Drosophila melanogaster: one gene and its partners. The protein of the gene in region 3 interacts with the protein of the main gene of each other region in a pairwise test. Each region holds a gene or a part of one and is shown on either strand. Other genes may lie near its edges.

What was found.
Region 1: the proteins of MCPH1 (region 3) and TwdlF interact in a two-hybrid assay, tested with the Drosophila melanogaster proteins (one large-scale study listed by BioGRID).
Region 2: the proteins of MCPH1 (region 3) and TwdlC interact in a two-hybrid assay, tested with the Drosophila melanogaster proteins (one large-scale study listed by BioGRID).
Region 4: the proteins of MCPH1 (region 3) and danr interact in a two-hybrid assay, tested with the Drosophila melanogaster proteins (one large-scale study listed by BioGRID).

What each region holds. Positions count from the first base shown.
Region 1 is NT_033777.3:4,244,405-4,249,560, forward strand, and holds TwdlF (TweedleF), read left to right. Parts: upstream 1-2,615; 5' UTR 2,616-2,656; coding exon 2,657-2,680; intron 2,681-2,739; coding exon 2,740-3,780; 3' UTR 3,781-3,909; downstream 3,910-5,156. Other genes in the region: TwdlG (TweedleG), read right to left, coding at 4,447-4,613, 4,787-5,156.
Region 2 is NT_033777.3:26,991,831-26,997,513, forward strand, and holds TwdlC (TweedleC), read left to right. Parts: upstream 1-3,001; 5' UTR 3,002-3,103; coding exon 3,104-3,239; intron 3,240-3,454; coding exon 3,455-4,401; 3' UTR 4,402-4,612; downstream 4,613-5,683.
Region 3 is NT_033778.4:11,899,742-11,906,037, forward strand, and holds the start of MCPH1 (microcephalin), read right to left. Parts: upstream 4,178-6,296; 5' UTR 4,033-4,177; coding exon 3,840-4,032; intron 3,798-3,839; exon of another isoform or gene 3,723-3,797; coding exon of another isoform or gene 3,671-3,722; coding exon 3,424-3,670; intron 3,100-3,423; coding exon 2,878-3,099; intron 2,810-2,877; coding exon 2,617-2,809; intron 1,654-2,616; exon of another isoform or gene 1,247-1,653; coding exon of another isoform or gene 221-1,246; exon of another isoform or gene 1-220. Other genes in the region: Zip48C (Zinc/iron regulated transporter-related protein 48C), read left to right, coding at 221-1,246; reb (rebuf), read right to left, coding at 5,099-5,103, 5,165-5,537, 5,654-6,296.
Region 4 is NT_033777.3:25,135,291-25,141,119, reverse strand, and holds danr (distal antenna-related), read right to left. Parts: upstream 3,049-5,829; 5' UTR 2,888-3,048; coding exon 1,628-2,887; 3' UTR 1,217-1,627; downstream 1-1,216. Other genes in the region: Bili (Band4.1 inhibitor LRP interactor), read right to left, coding at 5,464-5,594, 5,662-5,812. UniProt on the Drosophila melanogaster protein: Probable transcription factor with a role in the retinal determination (RD) network. Regulates ato expression and is required for normal R8 induction and differentiation.

The DNA of each region.
Region 1 (5,156 bases), on a different chromosome or scaffold from region 3:
GCATATTCTCCATCTTACAAATGATTGCTTGCATCAGAAAAGCCACTGGAACAGTAACGTATAAAAGCGTCGACCAAATGTAATCTTCGGCAAAGGAAACCCATCTGCCGAACTGCCCGCACAAAAAATGTATTTAGCCACCCACAAGTAGATACAAGTATTCACGATGCGCATCTTTCTAGTAAGAACACAAAGCATTTATTCCGCACTTTGTGTAACCATCAAACAATTTCAGATTCTAAGCCTCTTTCCTATGGCGCGAGGGAAGTACGACTACACTCCAGTATCGTATGCCGGTAATGGTCACGGAGGACTGATTGGCGCGCCCAGCTTTCTAAGGCTATAGCACCCGCCAGCGAGTTCACCAAGGAGTTCTTCACCTACAGTGCTCCAGAGCACGAATTTGATGACCACCCCAACGAGCAGATCGCTCACTTGATAAAGAAGAACGTGCTTGTGTTGTTTATCAAGGATCCCGATAACAAGGGACTGGAGCAGGCGGCGCTCCAGCTGGCCACCTCCGCGTCCGCCGACCGCATCGCCATTTACGTGCTCAACAAGCAGGAGAACATTGGCAAGTGGATCACCAACCTGAATACTATCCGTAACAACAACAAAAACCGCAAGCCCGAGGTTCACTTTGTGAAGTATTGAACGCAGAGCGACGCGAAGAACGCCCAGCGCACTATCCAAGCCCAGTATGACTTGCTACCGGGAGTTTCAACCAACTACAACGGTGGAGCCTCGGTCTCCGTCTTGGACTTTGCGTCTAAGGTCATTTCAAGTGGAACTGACGACGGGAATGCGTTCGTTCGCAAGGTAAACGCACCGTCGACAAGCCCGTACTTGCCACCTTCTCATGAAAAGTATTAGTTTAAACGCAAAATAATCAGTATAAGATATAACCGAAGACATTAGTGCCTTTGGTATAACACTATGTTTCAATGTCGTGTTACCGGGAAAGGAGATTAGCCGTGACTATATGCAATCATTACGGACGTAGTCCACGTAGTGAAAAAGAATGTGCCACGGGGACCACAATATGTATAGGAATCAATGATAATCTGTTTTTTCTATAATAATAATTTGTGCTAAACAACTTTATTTAAAAAACATAACGGCATTTTTAATTCTATGCATGCTTAGATAACGTTTTTTGTACCGACAAAACTGTACAGGCCATAAAATTCCCCTTACTTATGGTATTTAATAGTCGTAAAAACAAAAAACAAAAAAGAATGCTGTAGTCGAGTTCCCCGACTATCAGATACCCGTTACTCAGATCAATTCACCACTTTTCTGGTATTTCGATAGATATTGGAGAATAAACTGAGGAAAAATTTAATAAATTTAACAAGGCAAAAAGCTGCGTCTATGTACATGATCTCAACTCTCTAGCCTCTATAGTTCCTGAGATCTCGACGTTCATATGGCCGAGTCGATCTGGCCATGTCTGTCTGTTCTATAAAAGCTGGATGGATTAGATCAAACACCCACAAATCGCCAAAAGCTGCCACACTGTTCAAAATTGTAAATAACATATTTTTAATTTTTTCCTGCCAATTTCGATGGGTTTTTGGCATGTTGTTTTGCCTCCACTTTAACGCTAACAAACCGCCCAAAAAATGTTGCGATTACTCGTTCGCACTCCCTCTAGCTGAGTAACGGGCAATTTATTTCATTTCGTCAAATGAAAACTTGATTTTTGGAATGTTTTCGATTGAAACTTAAAAACATCGACTCGCCTAATTAACGCTCAACTGCCGACCAAAATTCGCTTTACCACACTTTATAAGAATATTTATATTACTCGTAGAGTTAAAGGGTATACTAGATTCGTTGAAAATTATGTAACAGGCAGATCCAACCATATAAAGTATATATATTCTCGATGAGGATCAATAGCCGAGTCGATCTGGCCATGAACGTCTGTCCGTTATTTCCATTACCGTTATTGCCCATTATTTCCAATTACCGTTGTGCAAGTAGAAAACAATTGAACTAGCAAGTAAAAGCATTACCCATAACAATAGTATTGTTAGCATGATTCCAGGTTGGATTCAAGCCATGAAGTGCTATATTTCTGAAGAACTGAGCATATTTTCACAAATATCTTTGAGCTTATTGGTTTTTCTGCATTTTTGAAAAGACTTGTTTAATAACAAATTCATTTATACAACATCTGCGACAAAGCGAATTTTATATGCAGATAGATCGCTTCCCACAATTTTGGTCATGAATGTGTATAAATTGGGTTTCCGTCCATAAAACTTACTTTCTTCATATTATCCCAGTTTTGTCAATCGAACCGCTTTACCTATTAATATTTTGCATATAAATATATTCAGCGTTGACAATGGGGATCTCAAGCGATTATTTAAATTTGAACGCAGCGTTGGTCGCCAAGTTAGATAAGATCCCGGACTGTTCAAGCAGTGCATCTGCGCACACGGATCTGTGATTTGGCAACCGCCAATGTGAAACGTTACATATTCGAAGTTGTGAAGTCTATAATAGATTCATACGATTTATGGTAGTGCCTAATAATTTTTTCATTTATTGGGAAAACGATGCCAGCCTGGACAGATATAAAAACATAGCAATGGGAAGGCAGGGCATCATTCGACCCTAGCAGCTCAGACAGTTCAAAGTGAAAATGAAGCAGTTCGTTGTTCTAATGGTAAGCAACTGGCACATGAGCGATCCCCGCAACAACTAACACTTAATGTGCTCTTGCAGTGCCTGGTGGCCCTCACAGCAACAGCTCCTCAGGGATACAAGTACCAACCTCAGCTGCCAGCCCTTCCCATTGGCAATCTTCGTCCTCTGACACCCATTTCGTCAAGTGGAATATACGCAAGTGGCGCCGTCCCATCTTTCCCACAGGCCGGTGCTCAGCCCGCGATCGGTGTCCAGCCAGCCATTCAAGCCGTGCAGACCATCGTTGCCGCTCCTGCTCCCGCCCCCGCTCCCGCTCCTTTGTCGATCTCACTCCCAAAGGAGACTTTCCTTACTGCTTCGCCCCAGCAAAACCTGATCAGCACTGTGCAGCAGCAGCCTCAGCAAATCGTGTACCAGCAGCAACCGCAGCAAGCCCTTCAGACCCAGTTCGTCCAGCGCCCCGCTATCGTTACCAAGGACATTTACATCCACTCCGCCCCCGAGGAGAATGAGGAACTGCGGCAGGACGAGCCACTTCTGGAGAATGTGCCCATCCGCAAGAACTACCGGATCGTCTTCATTAAAGCGCCTTCCCAGAATCTGAAATATACCGCCGCGGCCCTGAAGCGGGCCCAGTCAAGCAACGAGGAAAAGACCGTCATCTACGTGCTCTCTAAAAAGCCCGATCTCACTGAGATCCAGCAGCAGCTGCAGGTTACCCAGTCTGAGGCCAAGGTTCAAAAGCCGGAGGTCTACTTCATTAAGTACAAGACCCAGGAAGAGGCCCAGCGCGCCCAGCAGGAAATCCAGGCCCAGTACGACGCCTTGGGAGGTGCAACCCACATTTCGGACGAGGGAGTGGCTCCCATCGCCAGCGTTTCGAGTGGCTCCCTTAACCTGGGCAGCTTTGTGCCCCAGCACTCCCAAGCTGGCCAAACCATCATCCACTCTCAGGCGCCAACCATTATCCAGCCACAGGGTCAGCCCATTGTTCAGCTGCAGTCTATTAACCAGGGGGTCCAGGGGGTCCAGCAGCAGAGCTCCTTTGTGCAGAAGTCCACCTCCTCATTCGCTCCCTCGGCGCCATCAAGGAAGTATGTGCCGGCAAAGACTTTTTAAAAAGTTGTAGTAAGAATCCTATCGCTTTCATTGTTTTATATCAACCATCATACTGTAGTAAATTTTAATTTATTTTTAATGCAAAAGTCGAAAGTCGAAAGAAATATAAAAAAATTTAAATCGAAACCCAAAAAGCCTTCTGTTTCTAGTACTCGTTTTTAAGTTTAATCCTTTTAATATTTTAGATAGGTTTTGTTTTAGGATTTGGAATTAATCTTTCATTTAAGGCATAGCTTGAGTTTAATGTTTCTTATGAAAACGCTGTTTATTTTTATCACAAAAATGTTTCAATGGGCTAAGAGACTATGACAATGACTTCTTTCTCGCAAGAAAGTTTGGACCATCTCTTTTGGCATTAAGCCAACAGCCATAATAATCAAGTTTTCGTGTGGCTTAATCGTTGTTATGTAAGTCAAATCACATGCTAATTTATGCGACCGGTTTTCGGCTTGGATGGCTGTCATTGGACTAATGGATGTGGTAACATGGTCCATAGAAAACTATTTTGTTACTTTGAAGTATTGAAACTCGATTTCATATTTGAATATGGCTGCAGAGTCGCTTTCTATCATAAGGCGGAGCTCAAAATATGAACTTTATTTAACTAAATGTGTAAATTACAAGAGTTCAAGTCTTAAAATTACGACAGTGGCCTTGGAGTTGTACCTAAGCACGCAGATTAGTTGGCAAGTAGCTGTTTGGCAAGGAGCCAGAAAACTGTCCGGATGAAATTCCGTTGTTGCGCTGGTTGTCCAGTACGCCAATCACGGATGTAACGGGTGCAACTCCCTCGTCAGAAACCTGTGATGTTCCGCCAAGCTGGTCATATTGAGCTAAAAGAAGTAAATCGGTTAAAAATCGGGTAATAAAAATTTGGACAAGCCAGATTAATTGGTCGATAGACATTTCTATGAAGCTTGCAAATCGAAACATTTGAGGTCTGTTGCATACTGATGAGGTCTTCAAGTGTGTCTCATAGCATCTGCTCGATGCGGGTGTTGCTCACCTTGAATGGTACGTTGCGCATGCGCAGCTTCCTCCTGGGTCTTGTATTTGATGAAAAATACCTCTGGCTTGCTGGGCTGCTTCGGCGCGATTTCCTCGATGGCAGTCTGGAGATCTAGTGGGTCCGGCTTCTTGGTCAGCACATAGATGATGGTCTTCTCCTCCACAGGAGCCTGTTTGATGCGCAACGCCGCCTTCGAGACACTGGTCGTCGGTGCCTTGATGAAAACTATGCGATAATGCTTGCGCGGAGGCGCGGGCGGAAGGACGGGCTGAGGGTAGCGGTCCTCGGGCTCTTCTGCTGGTGGCACATGGACGTAGATGTCCTTGGAGACGAGGTGCTGCTGCTGAGGCTGATGTGCCTGGGGCAG
Region 2 (5,683 bases), on a different chromosome or scaffold from region 3:
TTTATAAACTTTTTTTAAGCATGATTTGCATGTTTGGTTTGCAGTTGCCTTCTTATTTTCGGTGTTTGTGGTAAAAGTGAAAAATATACACTTGCTATAGAGTGTAATAAAATTATTTAATATGGTAGTCGAAGCATTTCTCGGAAATCAGTAAATCACTTTATGTGGAAGTCAAATTTTTTTCAGGTTAATTTGAGGTTTGGGATTGTAAGTGAGTGGTATTTTTATATGAACTGACTTTGGTTTAAATTGATTTAAATGGTTAACGGTTAAGTAGAAAGTCCAATAATATGGCATTCTGTACCACTGAGATGGGTATCTATATCCACCACAAGGTTTGCAGCTGCTTCTACTCCGTTTTTAAGTCAAGTGACCTACGCATTCTTCGCTGGCGATGGAATGCGCCTCTTCACTGCCATTGGCCAACTAATCGACTTGTGGGTTCACATCTCAATGACAAAGCCCCAAAGTATCTGCCCCATTCGTGTTGGCCGCTGTGCTTCTTCTATGGCTTTTGCTGTTCGTGGCACTTGAATGCAACAAGTGGCAAGTCAAGTGGCGCATCCCCGGTCGCTTCGTCTATTTTAAGCTGCTGCGATGGAAATTCCCCCCAAGAGGGACGCAGCTCCCCGGCAATGTCAATTTGAAGCGATCGAAGGGCATCGAAAAACAAGACTAAGCCAATGCCACGAGGAGAAGGGCAGGAGATCGAGTATTCGACACAAATCAATAACTCATCGATGGACGTGCTACTGCACTGTTGACCTGATTTTCACCAAATTTCGAACCCTTGATGACACAATCTGCGGCAGCTCCTTTGGTCTTTCTCTTGACCAGGGATGGAATAAAAACTGTTCTTGTAGTCAATATAATTTACCTTAAATAAATTTGTCAAATTTTTTTATCTCATCACTAAAGATCAGATTTTCACCAAGTTTTTCTTTTTGTACTTATACATTTGATGGGCTTAAGCTTGTAACTCGGCCAAAATGGCAGCCACAGCTAAGAAAAACACCTTTTTAGAGAGCTAAAGACCTCAGCAAACCAACGCAATCACTTTTGATTTGATTCCAGAAATTAAATTTTTTGTCAAAATTTTCCATTTTTTATAAGGGGTAACATCGTAATTTTTCGCAAAAATTGACAAAAAATTTTTTTTTCATTCTTGAATGCCAAACGATTAAGCATGTTTTTACGAGTCCAGCAAGGTATGACAATCTATATTTTGACCTCGTTTACGGATAATTTTGCACATTTTTACTGATATTTTTGAACAATTTTATCAATTTCTATGCCATGTTTCAATGTACTATTTACTTATGTATATGTTTAAATTAAGTTGCATCCCTGATTTTATTTTTTGAGTCCGGACCCTTCTTCCCGTTGACAGCGCTTGACTCGTTAGGCTTCTTCTTCGGTGGCCAAGTGCACCAATTTCCAATCGATCGAACGGTGACGTAAAGCTCCAAAACCCTGTTGCCATTACGTACGCCCCCCAACTTCTTGTGCCGCCTTATAGCCATGTCGATGTAGTTATAGCCATAAGCTACATGTGTCCGCACAGCCACTCGACATTTCTCCACCTCGCTGCGTCGAGATGCGTCGGCTGCAATTACAATTAATGATTTCTGTGTGTGGACAGCAAGTGGACAAGCGTCTCGATTCAGCTGGTTACTGGTTGGTTACTGGGTATTGGATAGTGGGTACTGGCGGTCTATTTACTTTCGAACCAATGGCTGTGTGCAGCAAATCCAATTAAATGCCGCTCGCTATTCACTTTATTTGGGTAGCTGCTGTTTTGTTTTATTACTTATTGTTTTCGTTTTCGACGCTTAATGTTTGGCTTCAATTTGAAAATTGATTTTGATTTTGATTTTGTTACGATTGTTTCGTAATTGTTATCGTAGGTGTTGAAAGTGTCCGCCGTCAACGGTTGACAGTTCGGGGGAAATTTGGAACTGGCCTTGAAAAGCCCTTCGTTATTGTGTTATTTTTGGTCTGATGACTGCGTGTATTTATAGGTTTATAAACGAATTTGTTAGGGTTTAAGAATGGGTTAAAATGCATTGTATTGTATGCAATGACTGGGATCTTTTAAAGTAACTATTGTTAGTTCCATATGCAATGAGACAACATTGAAGCTTAATGATACTTAAGAATGAGTAGAAATAATTATAAAGAAAAATACTAAAGCTGAAAGCATAATAAACCTGCAACTTTGTTTTACAAATTTACTAAGTTACACATTTAATGTATACTTGGCTTAATGTCCTAGCACAACACGTTGTTTTCGTATTTCCCGTTCACTATTTAGATTCCTTGCTAATCATGCGAAAAAATGGATTATCCCTTGACTGGATTGCCGGGGAATCACATGACCCGGCTGTCGAGGAAGTACAAACTGGACAAACAAGTTCCTCGAGGCGTCACATGAATGAAGTTCATCAATGGGACTCGGTCGAGTGTGTAATCGTGGGTCACTTTCGATTTCGAGCCAGCAATTTAAGTGCGCTCCAATTGTGAAAATAACACTTGGCGCACTTGGCCGAAGGTTGCGGCTGCTGCATCTTTCAGATGCGAGATATGAGATACGAGCTACGAGCTACGAGCTACAAGATACCAGATACGAGATACTCAGCGGAGAGTGTTACACATAACGATTTGGGCAAACATTTTTTCGCGTTGGCCCAGGGCATTGATTGTGGACTATGGGGTTGCCCCCTCCTGGGAGATTCGTTTTGCAGACGGGTTTGCTCCAATTTCTCGCTTGTGAACCCAAAAGACACGTGTCGCAGACTTCTCTCTGCATCCGTATCCGTATCTTTGCTCTGCGCCGCCTTCTACTCGCTTTTGGCCAAGTTCATCCGAAGCTCTTCGCGTCTCTTTTGATGCTTAATTAAATTCATTTTTTCGTTTATTTCGTTTACCTTTTGTAATGAGACTTTGAGCACTCGGAGCTGCGGACATCGAATCATATAAATTCGGACCGCGGCGGCCAAGTCAGCATCAGTCGAGCATCGAGCTTCTCCATCGAAGCATTTCATCGAGCCAAAGGATTACGGGCTTACTAAGCAGCAAAGGATTTCCGATTACCAGAAGCAAAATGCGTGTCTCCTCGCTGTTCGTTGTGTGCGTGGCCTCCCTGGTGGCCACCACTTTGGGTCGTCCTGAGCCCCCATCCCCGTACTCCTACCACGGATTGCCTCAGCAGCAGAGCCAGCGGGCTTTGCCACTCAATGGTAAGTGGGCGGAGGATGAAATAGAAACATTATAGGAAATTAAAGCGAAAAAGATTAAAGCTATTTATGTGACACAGATTTTTGCTAAAGTCTTATGAGCATGACAACTATTAAAGATTAGATTAAACATTGATTATAGTAATATAATTCAGCAAATGTAGATATATTAACTCCATATATTTATCTTAATCTTATTAATCTTTCTTTTTGGACAGCTCACCCCGTTCCCCCGCAGATTTACCAGCCTCTGCCCCAGGAGCAGTCGTTTGCCAACTTTGCACCGCCCCAGCAGACCTACTTGCCACCCCAAATGCATCTGGATGCCATCGAGCAAGTGGCTCCCACTGCCGCCGCCGCTGAGCCCCTGAATGCCTACGATGACAGCTACAACATGGCCCACCGCCTGTCCGGAGTGCAGCATGCCAGTGGCTACAACAATGGCCCCCAGGAGACCAAGGTGCACAAGCACATCTACGTCCATGTGCCGCCAAAGGACTTCGAGGAGGAGGATGCCATCCAGACCCGAGTTCACCACCAGCAGGGACCCAAGCAGAAGCACTACAAGATCGTGTTCATCAAGGCACCATCTGCTCCGGCTATCCGTCAGCCAGTTGTGCCACCACCACCCCAGAATGAGGAGAAGACTCTGATCTATGTGCTGCACAAGAAGCCCGAGCAGGAGCAAGATATCGTGATCCCGACGCCACCACCCACCAAGCCATCGAAGCCAGAGGTTTACTTCATCAAGTACAAGACCAAGAAGGACGAGGCCCCCGTCTATGGACCCCCACCTGCAGAGATGGAGCCCCGTCAGGCCACCGCCGAGGATTTCGCTCCATTGGCTGAGGTCGCCGATGTCCTGCCACCCACCACCCTGGCTCCTGCTCCCGAGCCGGAAGTAGAGCAGCCAGCCATTCCCTCCGCGGTCTACGGACCACCCACTGCAGCTGCCTATACTGGTGAGGAGGTTCAGACCACCTTGTCCGCTCCTGCCAACCAGTATCTGCCCCCTGCCACCGCTCCCGCCGCCCTGGCCATTGAGGAGCCCTCAATGGCGCCCATCGTGGTGGAGGAACAGCCCGAGCAGCGACTGGCTCCTTCCCATGTGCCTGCCACCAGCTACGGTCCTCCCAACCGCTACTTCCTTAAGAAGCTGAAGTGAAGCCCGCTGCTTTGAGATGGTGATGCCTTAGCCAATTTCACAGTTTGTCATAGTCTAATGTCCATTGGATGCACCTCTTCCCAATCCCCTGTTCCCAATTCACACATGCACACGTGCCAAACCTCCCCACATGCACATCTCGTTGTTTGTTCGTTTGTATAACTTGTTACATTTGTTTTAATAAAGAGTAGATAATAAATATCAAATTTATAAAAAAAAAACTAAATGGCCTTTTAGTGTGGAATATTCCTCAAAAGTTTTATACACTTTCTTTAAGCTTAGTAAATGGTCCAGTTAATTCGGATAAAACACAGTGGAACAACAATGGATTTCGCATTTCAATGATTTAATGATGGCTCATGCCGCCTAATATGATAATTGACCCTGTGTGAAGTCGTGACCTTGGCAAATTTACAGCCTGCTTAATTGCGTTACGTTTTGTTGATTTCGGCTGTAGGCCCAATTTCGACGGCTTTCCTCATTGCTGTGCTCATAGAAAAATCGTAAAGTAATGGCCAAAATGGCAAAGCACTTAGAGGGAAGAGGCCGGAGCAACATGTTGCTGAGACTTCCCGCCAAAAGCAACAGTTGCTGCCTGCGCAGAGCTATGTTGCAACATGTGGATGGAAAAGCCGGGAAAAGGAGTACGAGGAACTGCCTTTCGGGTTCGTGCCCGAGTTTCGTGGCCGTTTGATCAGTCAGTCCGGATGAAAAATCCGGCTGCACACTCAGTTCGCTTTCTGTGCTCGCGCGAGTCGCATCGTAGGTGGGCGTGTTCCTTCACTTTATGTCGGTCGTCTCCGTCTGGTTAGCGTATTCAACGTATTCAAACTTATAAGCCCATTGAAAACACTCGGTCCATTCAATTTAGCGAGTGGTCATAAGCAGCGAAAACACTATCGGTAAACGGTAAACAATTAATGAATTGCGACTTTAATCACGCGTCCAACAGTGCGTATACGCAATACGAAAAGTGAGTGATTGCAAGTGAAATTGTGGGCCATTGTTTCAGGTCATTACATCTGGCATTGGCATTGACATTGGCAGTCTCGACGACGTGCAATCCCCTCGAGGGTAGCTCCAGTCCAATCTCAGTGCCTCGCTGCACCAGGTGAGTTGTAATGAGCTTTGTTTACCTGCTAATCAGCTTGTCCTCTCCGCCGGCAAATGGCTTGTTGTTTCCGCTTGTTAGCATTTGGCTGTGTTTCACACATCTGGTCGCTGGTTCGGTTCTGGTGGGGATTAGCTTCCGACACATGACTATATTTCACGGACGAGTTTT
Region 3 (6,296 bases):
GAATCTAAAACTCCATTGAAATTGGTTCTCAGTTGTTTTGTTTACCCAGCAATCAGTGCCCAAGAACGTGGCACATTTCCAACTGTGGGCGGGTAAACAATTGCTGCGCAACAATTAAGAAAACTTGTTCGCCCTGTCTGTGTACACGCGAATAAATCTCGGGAGTACAATTCCATACCAGCCGGTGACGGGCACGGAAAAGCAGCTCTAACTGTGCAAGATGATTCCAGGCTATGGACCCGTCACGCAGGCTCTGCTGGGCACCCTGCTTACCTGGGGACTGACCGCCGCTGGCGCCGCCCTAGTGATCTTCGTCCGGGGTAACCAGCGGAGGTCTCTGGACGCCGCCCTGGGATTCGCAGCTGGCGTAATGATAGCAGCCTCCTTTTGGTCACTCCTCAAGCCGGCCATCGAAATGGCCGAGAGTTCCCATTTGTACGGAGTATACGCCTTTCTGCCCGTCGCTGGAGGCTTCCTCTTGGGATCGATCTTCGTCTACGGATGCGACAAATTGATGTCATACCTGGGCCTTAACAGCACCAACATGATGATCCAGATGACGCAATCAAAAGCCAAGGCGGACATAGCCATCGAGGACTCTAAGCGCAATGGAGTTGCCCCCGATAGGTTGGCCTCAAAGAGTCTGGACAGCTTCTCCGACTGCCTTAGCGTGCAGCACAGCGGCGAATCGAGACGCCGAAAGAAGGGAGCTAGCATCAACGAGATGGAGCAGTGCACCTACACCACGCCTGAGGAGCAGCAGCGCGCCGAGGACGCCCTGTCCCAGTGGAAGAGGATTATGCTTTTGGTCGTGGCCATCACGGTCCACAACATTCCAGAAGGGCTGGCTGTGGGCGTAAGCTTTGGTGCCATTGGCTCCACGAACTCATCGACATTTGAGAGCGCCCGCAATTTGGCCATTGGCATTGGCATTCAAAACTTCCCCGAGGGATTGGCTGTCAGCTTGCCACTGCATGCCGCAGGATTCAGCGTGAAGCGGGCTCTGTGGTACGGACAGCTGTCCGGAATGGTGGAGCCCATTTTTGGAGTTCTGGGCGCCGTGGCGGTGACCTTTGCCAACCTGATCCTGCCATACGCCTTGTCTTTTGCGGCCGGAGCCATGATATACATTGTGTCGGACGACATTCTGCCGGAGGCTCATGCCAGCGGAAATGGAACGATCGCCACGTGGGGCACTGTATCCGGCTTCCTGATCATGATGTGTCTGGAGGTGGCGCTGTCGTGAGGAACGAACGGCTCGCCTTCGCCCGCCTCGCAGATTTCATAATCTAGTGCTAAACTCAAAGATTCCACTGTACTTAACGCAAAACTCTGCTGTCTTGTAAATAGAAGCATGCTGTGTACAAATCTCAGAACCAGCCCTAAACGAGAATCTAATAATCTAGCGTAGAGTGTAAGTTTTGTAGAAAGAAGCTTGACAACCAGCGATGCCGCGACGACATCCGTGCAATTGTGTATCTGTGCACACGTATCTGTACAGCATTCCCAGCGAGTTATGTAAATGAACTGTTCTAGGAAAATTTGTAAACAAACGTGCATGTGAATTAGGTTTTAAGTTGTCACCGGCGTCCAGTAGCTTGTGTCTTTTTTAACCGTCTAATGTCTAAGTAATAAACTAAACGAATTCAAATGAACATCTCTCAGTTGCACCCACTCGCTTTTTTCCCTCACAAATGTAGCTGTCTCCGTCCGGACAACTTCCTGACCGTTTCTTTGGCCGTACGATAGCTGATAAGGGCAAGTAAATTCACTTAGATAACCCGGAGTGCCAACAACAACAACAGCTGGTTGACTCGCTGTCAGCCAGTGATAAGTGATAAGAATCTGTCCGACACGAAGAGTTCCCAATATTGCGCGTATTCCGTGTTTGAGATACGTGCAGTTTCAGACGGCCCGCGGTCCTGCGTTTCTGTTCGCCATTTTCTGGATTAACTAATCATTTCAGATATGTATGTTTGTACTCGCACAAGTGCTTTGGGCCACAGTCCACCCACTGTGATCGTGGTCATCAGGAAAAGTGGTCGATAAGACCTCTTGCCGGCTATCTGTTGTACAATTTCCATATAGTTCTTTATGTGCGCCATAAAACCATAAACTCGGTATGAATGGCCTATTAGTTGGGGGCATATCTCAAGTGGAGTTAATGCTTCTGTGTCCGCAATGCCATAAATTGATAGTGTCAACGATTAGACTAATTAAAGACCTATTTCTTTTGTAATCGAAGTGTAAGTTAAAGCTGCCATTTCCAACCAAAATGTAATGCAGAGTTGATGAACTCGAAAGTACATTGTCGTCTTAGATCTGATAAAGCTTTTGGGAAGTTGTTAGGCCTAACAAATAATGATATGATAAGAATATTAAAAGTTGTATGAAGACCTTGATAAGTCAACTTTTAATATCTACGTACATACAAGCCTATTTTTGCAATGTGTTATTGGGTATTTTGCAGTGAGCTTAGTATTATGAGAAGGCAAGCTAAATTATAAAGCCGAATGGTGACAATTAAAAGTTATCTTCTTAAGCCCCATTTATCCCCATTTGAATATATAAATAAGATCGATGATGCAACAGAAGCCACAATTAGTAATAACTTACCGGCATTTTGCCAAAGAGCTCGGGATACTCGTACATGCGTATATTGCTGATTGGAAATTGCTTGGGATCGCATATTTTCAGCTGCACCTTGCAAGCTTCAATCCACAGAATGGAAACGACTGGTATATTCCACTCGGTGGCCTTTTTATAGGTGGAGAGCAGGCCATCCTTGAAGACAACGTGTGTGGTGGTTCTACAAGCCAAACGAAAAATGTTTAATTGAATATATTTTAGTCAATCAATTGTAATCCCTTAGCTTACCGCGTTAGGCGATCTTTGACCTGGGCTCCCATCTTGGCAATAATTGATTTTACGCCCTCAGAGCGATTGTCGTTTCCAGTTCGCACCTCCACATATACGACTATGTCCTTGAGCAACTCGGGGAGGGAGGGCGGCTCCTGGGGATTGCGTTCTTCCATCGTGATGATGCTTTGTTCGGCTAAAGGCACATCGAAGGTATTGTATGCCGACTTGGTGGGGCTTCTAAAAATGTATACAATGTAAAAGCGAATGCATTTTTTTTATTATGATCAGTTTCTTCTCAAATCAGATTAGATTGCATTGCAAAACAATAATTAATAATAATAATAATCAATACTTGGTTTTGGCAAAAAAACCTGGCTTGTTAATATAATAGTTATTGATGGATATGGAATTATTAGGGATTGCATCTAAAGAATCTAACTTTACAAAATTAGCGATAAAATGGCTATAAAAGGATGGATTAGTCAAGAATCTGAGCTGTTTTCACTAGTTGACCTTTAGGTTGTATAAATAACAATTGCAATAACCAATTTTTGTCCTTACTTTAATGCACGAATGGCGCGTAATCGGAGTGCAGCGTTGGGGCTGTTGAGATCTTGCTGCAGTCGGGCCCAGTGTCCTTCCTGCCTGGTTGGCGTGGCTGCTCCGATGGGTGGATCTGGTTTTGCTGCAGATCCTTCTGCTCCCGCCTCGTTCTCGTCCTGGTGGAACTCGGAGCGGTGCTGGCTGATCGCTTTGGAGACGGCTAATGCCGGCTTGAGCATCAGCCGATCCCTGGCCGCCTGGTCATCTAGCAGGAGGGAACGCAACTTGTTAGTAATGCTCGGTTCGTTTGTCGACATGGTAATCTGTTTTTTTTTTTTTTTTTTGAATACTACGAATTTTGGGTGAGCTACGTATCCGGAACTAAAACTACTGGGTTGGGTGTTCAAAATGTAAAATAGGCATGCACAGCCAACCTGCCGGGGCCTGGGATAGAGATTTGGGAGACGGTGCCGCTGCTTTGGACCTGAAGTCGCCCAGATTTGAATCGTGCAACGGTCGGCGGGTCGATGACGCCGCTGTTTTCTTGGCAGCTGCGGCGGAACTGGCCACGACCGATCCGTACGTCTTCGTCTTCCACGTGGGATTGCGCAACAGAAACTTGTCCATGGTCACGGGCTATGTTCTCCGCACTCTGGCGCTCCTTATTGCAATGAAGTCGGTCGCAAAACTCTGCAAAAGAGGCGCCAATAATTTTCTAATCCAAACCTCACAAAAAGTGCAACACAATGTGATAGTGTGACCGGGTAACCTCAATGCTACAAGATCACTCACTGGCAATCGGTTATCGTTCTCACCGAAAATCGATTGTTTTTATATGGTCTCCGTTTAGTACATTAAGATTTTAGTTCGATGACGAATTTGGCGGCATTTTATTATGTATTTAATTTAGGAGACAAAAAATCTTGTGATAGCGCAGGTTTACTTTTCACCACCAATGTTTATCTTAGAAAGAGGCAAAGCAGTTTAATAAATTTTAAGTTCCGATATTTAAACACAATTAGTAAATGCAAAAATGTCGGAAAATATATATAGATATAGATATGTTTAAATGTTCTCGTAAATGAAAATCAAACTACACACAATTATACAAAATACCTTTATTATTCAGTTTCAGCAGCGTAGATTGTAACCCGTTTAAAGTAAAACACTTATATTGACTTTCATAACTCTTTTTTAATGCGTACTAATATCGATTACATGTTTTTAATTTGATCTTATTTACATATGAAGTGTATGTACAGAAAAATAATAAGAAAATAATAAATTGAACTTGCCTAAAGTAGCAATTAATTTGCATATGACATTATCTGCCCCCATCCTGAATCTCAGCCAAACTCTCCGTGCGCTTATCGTGGGCTCTAGGACATTCTCTCAGTCTTAAACGATTTAAGAAACTATGGCAAAATTTTAATTACTCATTACAAATTGCATAATCATTAAATCTCTCTGCTTGACTTAAAGTTAACTGCGGTTAATTAGAGTTAGTGCGTATTAAGTGACGTACGCTAAATGGCTGCATTTCGCTGCATTTATCACAAAACTGAGCGAAATGCACTCCACAGTGATCCAGTGAATCGATGATCCTTCACTGACCAAACTTAATCGTAGGCTTTGACTAAATAATTTTAGAATTAACGCTAGACGATGAATAAATTAGGGCCAGCCAAAGTGATCATTCTGAAATGGCGAAATGTTCTGATTAACTGAGATACACTTAACAAATTAAGTGGTCACTTACCATGTGCGCTGATCAGACTACGTGCATCCCAGAGGGACATTTGCGACTGGGAGAGACGGTGCTGCGGTGGATACAGTTTGTAGGGGAAGTACGAGTGGTGGAATGTGGCAATGGGAATGGGTTGCGCCGGCTGCAGGAACTGCTGTTGCTGGTGCTGTGCCGAGATCTTCCGCGAGATCTTTGGCTCCTTCTTGGGCTTGCTGGCTCCTCCAGGGCACGGCTGCTTCGAGGACTTGATGAAGTTGGGAATACGCGCCAAGAGTCCGCAGTAGTACGGATCATCCTGCTTCTTCCGCTGCTGCGACCCGCTGCTCTTCTGTCGCTTCTTGTCCGCATATATGGGCGTCAAAGATCCGCCAGATTCGTAGTCGGGCTGCAAAGTGTAAAAAGCAAATAAGAATTATTAGGCTAAGTTTTTTTTCCCAAACAGGTTAAAAGGTTTGAAGTCCCAAATTTTTCAGGTAGAATGTAATCTAGGTTAGAACCCACCTTGGGCACATATGGACCCTCGTTGAGGAAGGCGGCACTAAAGATGCTGCGCCGTCCCTTGCTGGAGTTGCTCGAGTGCTGGGAGTTCTGGGAATCATCCGACGCGGCGGGCGTAGGATAGATCAATCCCACTTGGCTTTCGATGGTGGAGTATGGATCCTCGCTGCTGTTCGTCAGCGGCACTCGCATGCCCATCGCATCCAGTGACTTGGGAATCGTTTGGAGGCGGCTCCTCAGCATGTCCATGGCCACCACGTTGACCACGAGTATCCAGACCGGAGAGTTGATAAGATTGTTGTTCGACTTGACAAGCGATACGGCGGACAGGCACTGCCGTTCCAGTCTTCCGCGCTCCGGATAAGTGCGGGCAAACTCGCGGTTTATGTTCGTCTGGAACTTCTTCATATCAAAGAGTCGAGCGGAGGTGGCCGCGGTGAGGGACATCTGCGGCATTTGGATTATGTCGCCACCGATCACCGTCTCCTCGTTGCCCTGCGATGTGCTGTTCACGTAGATGCTGCTCTTGCCATACCGCTTGATGAATATGTTGCCGGTGTCGTCCATTTTGATCTTGAATCCATCGCCGATGGACTTTTTGATCACCTTCGTCTCCGCATCGCGCATCGGATTATCGAAGCCATTC
Region 4 (5,829 bases), on a different chromosome or scaffold from region 3:
ATATGCCCAGGGGATTGGCTGGAGTAATTTAATCCTCGCCCAGAACCAAAACCAGAATGCCACGAAGATGTCCACAAAACGCTGCGCACAACACATGCAATGCGAAATGCGAAAATGCGAGTTGCGGGCTGCGAGTTGCGAAATGCGAAATGCGGAGCGAAACATGCATACAGATCACGGCTGGCAGGCCGGATGGTCGACATGGACATGGACGTGGATGTGGATGTGGATATGGATGTGGATGTGGATGTGGATGCCGATGCCTGGGAGCACTGTCAGTCGCCTAATCATCGTAATAATTCGCCTCAACTTCACCCGATGGCAGCGGCAATGGGAAGCCAAGCGGAAATTACCAACACGCGATATTTAATTTTTCCAAAAGGCGAACCAATAATTCGTCTTCATGCCGCTGGATGGCCATCCGTGGCGGCTGCTCTTTCCGCTCCTTCTGCTTCTTGGGCCGCTCCTCTGGCCATGGTGCCATTTTTTCGTGTTCGGCATGACCGATGCCTCCGAAAACGCTTTCCAGGCACCAATCGTCAGGAGCAGGGTAAAAGGAGCAGGGAAAACAGGAAGAGGACTCATTAACGCACAGCCCAGATGCCAGGACCCAAACTCCTCTGCTGACTGCTGACCTCCATCTATGGCACCTATAATGATGCTTCCCTTTCATCATATAGAATATGGAATGTGCTTCGGCACATACATGTATTCATTTGCATGCCAAGTTTAATATTTATCCCTACAAAATAAATGGCAAAAAACCAATGAAGGCGCTTTTTGGTAAAAGAGTTTTACTTCTAATGGAAATTCAAAGTAGGATTCATTAGCATTTTCAAGTTTTTATTTGTTTGCAACTTAAAGATTCAATCGATTTGTGTTTAATTTGCATAATGAATTTAAAATTAGTTTAATGAAATATATTTTTAAAATATGGGTAAAAAGTTGACTATTTGTTTTTCTTGCAAATGCCTGTAAGTTTTATTTAACTTGCGAACGTTTTAAATAAAAACCACATGAATTAATTTAGTTTTGTTATAATTAAATACTTTAATTCTATAGAAAATTCCTGTTTTTCGATAAGCCTTTTGGCGGGTAAGACTTTCATTTTCTTCATAGGTAGAAAATTGACCCATTTTTCTAACCGCTGTAATTGAAAACCCATCAAGTAAAAAAATGTTTTGATCTTGAGAGATTGACACTTGAATTTTATTTTGTTTTGTTAATAAATATTTATTCGTTTCATTAGTAATTAGTTTATATGCTTATTTGAGAGTTACGCAGATTACACAGTAATAAAACAAATCGATTGGAATGGCTGACAAAATGTGCCAACTAATTAAGCTACTTAACACAATTAGTATTTGTTATAATACGTGTAGATGAATTGAATTTGGCTTTCAAACAAGTAGTCACACAGTTGATATTCCTAGTTAATACTAGCTATAGTATGCTGAGCTATTAATACCTGTTGCAGTGATATTAATACGTTAATTGATAAGTACAAATGGCATTTGCATTGCGAAATGATTCGAGTTTCATTAATACTAAAGGTGGCTAATAACAATAAAAATGGATGTATTTACACTATGAACTACAACTACAACTATGCTATAATGTAGGGTGTCTACTGTTCGGCGTCGCTGGACCCGACGCTCTTGTCGGGAGTGTGGGATCTGCTGGACGCCTTGGAGGCGCAGGAGCGCACGGACAGATCCTCCGGCTCGCTGTCGCAGTAGCTTTCGTTGGAGGCCTCACTGTGCGCCAGTGGACTCAGTCGCTTTAGTAGCGCCTCGTTGAAAGGATATGTTTCGAGATCCGGCTCCGATCCGCCGCTGGCCATTTGGTTGGGATTGTAGCTGGGTCCACCTGGTCCTCCGCCGCCGGGCTGCATGGAGGCTGCGGCCGCAGCGAAGGCCAGGAAGTTCAAACTGGCATTGAAGAGCTTGCACCAGTCGAGCAGAGCCGCTCCCTGGTTATCGGTTCCAGTGGGCGGGGCGTTTGCCGGAGTCACTGGTGCTATCACAGGCGCTAGATCCGCAGGATTCGGGAAGGGTGCTGGCAGTAGGGGCATTGTGGTGTCCGAGAACATGGGAGTCTTCGCCTGCTCCGTGACAAGAGCTTGTGGTGCGGAACTGTTGGCCTCCAGGGCATTGTTGTTCTTATCGTTCACTTGCTCCGGCTGATTGGCGGAGTTCACCCGCTTGGCCGGATCCTTGGCCCAGTTCTTAACACTCAGCAAGGGGTAATTGTTTTTGCTGTAATCCTCGGAAGCAGCGGGCGAATCAATCACTTTGTTGTCCTCTGATTTCGGCTGTGCATCTACCAGGACATCGGCAGTCTGTGGGGTGAGTTTGGAGTTGAGCAGGGCCAGAAGATTCAGCTGGTGCAGCATGTTGTTGGAGTAGTCCATCACGCCGGCCTGACCCGGATGCAGTGCACCCTCCGGATGCAATCCACCGTTCTTTTTTACAAATTCCACAAGGCTAAGCTTCTCCAGCAGGGATTCATTTTGCACTGGGTAATCGGCTGGACTGTAGGGCAGTGCACCGAAGCCCAGCTCCTCGTAGTTTGGAGGCAGTGCCACGAACTTCGGTGGCAGCTGGAGCTGCAGCTCGAACTTGGCGCGCTTTTCCGGTGGCGTGTCGAGACCCAGGTGATCGGGGCCCAGCTGGCGGCACATGAAGCGCAGCTTCTGCTCGTTCTTGCACCAGCCACGCAGCGTGGACTCCGGCACTCCGATGTCCCGCGACACACTCGCCTTGGTTTCACCATTGTGGATGCGCTGGATGGCACGCACCTTGTCGTTGGGCGTGAGGTTCCTCAGAGGACGCTTGCCGCGCGTGCTCATCCGGATGTTCATGTGCTGGTAGGCGGAGATATCCATGGTTCTATTTCTGGTTGCGCTGGCGATAGCGATTGCGATTACGATAGCGGTTTCGAAGCGCGGACTTTGCGGATGCGACCACCGGTGTGCACTCCTCGAACTCGCAGAAGGATGTGATTGTGAATCCGATTCCGCGAAAGGCGAGCTGCGAACTGCGAACGGCGACAGGCGAACGGCGACCGCCGAGATGATCCGATGATTTTGCGGCGAAGAGAACGGCATGACGTTTTTCTCGCTTTTTCTCGACCAATCGGAGCAAAGCGCCACTCTCACCTTTCTCTCTCTCTCTCTCTCGCGCGCGCACCCACCACCCACCAGTGCAACAACTTGTTACTCATGTCCTGCTCACGAAATTCGCTCTGTTCGGCTCTCTTAACGGGTTTGATGTCCTGACCATCATTCGCGTCCCTCTTCGCGGGCTGCGTATGTGTGTGGTGGTGTTGTGGATCTAGATATTCAGCATGCAGGATGCACATTTCCAAATCGGCTCCTCCACGTGGCTGCGTGTGTGTGTGTGTATGTGCCCGTGTGTTTATATAAAAACCAGTTATTTACCTCCCATAAACATTCCCTCCTGCGAAAGTGTGTGTGCGTGTATTTGGCCAACCTTCTCGCATTCGCATGTGCGTGAGCGGATCTGATACGGACGTGGACCTGGTTGCACTTTTGGGTTGCGAATCTACCGAGAATAACACAATTCCACTCTATATTATTTGCACTCTCCATCTGTGTGTTTGCACTAATTTCCATGAGTACTCTTTGTCCGTTATTTGTGGTAAATATTTTCATTGCACCCTTATCTTATGAAGATAATAGAAAATATATAGACTAAAAGGTGATCAGGCTAAACTTATTAACACAAGTTTTGAATTCACTGCGTTTTTTTAAATATTTTTATTTATATGTATAAGTGCTCACGAAGTACAATAATATAAAAGAATAGCACATACCTTATATGGAGAACTTGCATAGTTCTTTGCTGATGATTATTCGCACACAAAATTGTTTTAACCTTCATAAAACGATGTAATTCATATAAATATATTATTTATGGATCACTTCTAATTTTTTGATTGCGACTGTATACTAAAAACGTACGTAATGTACATAACACCTTTGTTGGAACACCTTTCTAATTGTAATTCTTTGATTCTACCCCTAATCCAAAGAACTATGTATATGCTGTCAAACACTGTTATTGTTATTAAAATGGATTATAATGTCTCAATGAATCTCGTCGTTTAATTATTGTTTAAACTATTAATGCGTCTGCGCCGTCCACTAAAGAAAAAATAACAAAAGCTTTCAATCTCGAGAAAACTATCAGCATTCTAGAAGAAGAACTGCTTTAAAAGCTTTCAGCCTGGTAAATATACCAAATCATATTATAAATTGCGAAAATTGGCTAAGTACACTTTAAAATAATCATTTTAGAAATGCTAATCCGTTCAATATTCTCCTTAAATAATATCACACATCCCTTTTTTAATACTTTTTTATTGTGTTATTAAAAGACACAGTTTAGAAAGTAAGTAGCCTTTAGTATTTATGTTTGATTTACACATATTTAAATAAATTTTCTATTAACTATAATTTATTAGATTACATCTACTTGTATTGATTAATTTCCGTTTTGCTGTATGTTATAACTATATCATTATTTATTATTAAACAATTTTCATTCAAGTTTATTTGTCACAAAACTGTATTTTAAAATGAATGGATTGTTTTAAATTAAATATGAAACCTACACAATAAATAAACGATTGCAAGCGTACTCAAATCGTAATTATCGATTAAAATTAACAATTTGTTGACATACCGCATTGAGATACTCTTTCTGATACATAAAGTCAAAATAAGTGCACATTTAATGGAAAAATCAAATTGCATTAGATTTATAAGTATTTGCAGTATAAGTATGAGGAAACGGTATTTATTTTAAGTCTCAATTTATACATACATACAAATTTAAATATATACATAACCTATGTTGGCAGTTAGCCCTTACATTTTGTACATACACTTTATTGTTATTATATACATAATTTGTTTCAGTCGAAGGCTTATTAAACTAATTCTGAACGCATACGTCAAATGCACATACCCATATAAGTATATATCTTAATATATACTGCATGCCTTATCTTAACTTTAAACTAAAAAGAGATAACTATTCGGGGGCATCAATGGGAATAAATGCAATCAATTTAATAATAAATAAATAATATTAACTCTTTGGCGGCAAATAAAATATCTGATGGGTGCGTGGATATAATGGAATCTTCGTTTGCCAGTGCCTTCAGCGATATATTCTGTAACTTAGTGTAAGTCTTAAGTAACTTATTGTACCATTCATTAAAATTCGAATAATGATCACCGACATTTTGTAAAATTAGAAAACAATTAAAGTTAATGGAATACGCTATGAAGGTGACTGTGAGTGTGAAGATTCCGTTTGCTAAAAATTTACTTGTGAGTATATTTATGGAAATCGATCAACAATTCGTGAATATATGCGCGAACTTTATTCAACACCCCTTAACTTAAATTTACTTTATCGTTAGTAACAAATGTTAATAGCTTATAGATAATGATCCCATTTGCCCAATGCAACGACCTCCCTCTTCATCGAAGGTGGCCAAAGTTAATCGAGACAGCTTATTGCATAAGACTCCATTTCCATTATTTTGAATAGGATTTGGCTCTGAAAAGGGTTAGTAATCAGAATTGGATTTGATTATGACATATAGAGCTGATAGTATGTGGCTTACCATCGTGAAAAGGTTCTTGAGTGTTACCCTCCTGTTTTTTGTTTCTGATTTGATCTGTAAAGTGTGATATAAGTGCGTCTATCATGGCAGCTTGCTTTGAAAATATTTGCATCAGTTTGGACACTTGTATTCCGTTCTCGACGGCATCGAACTGCAAAGTAAATGATT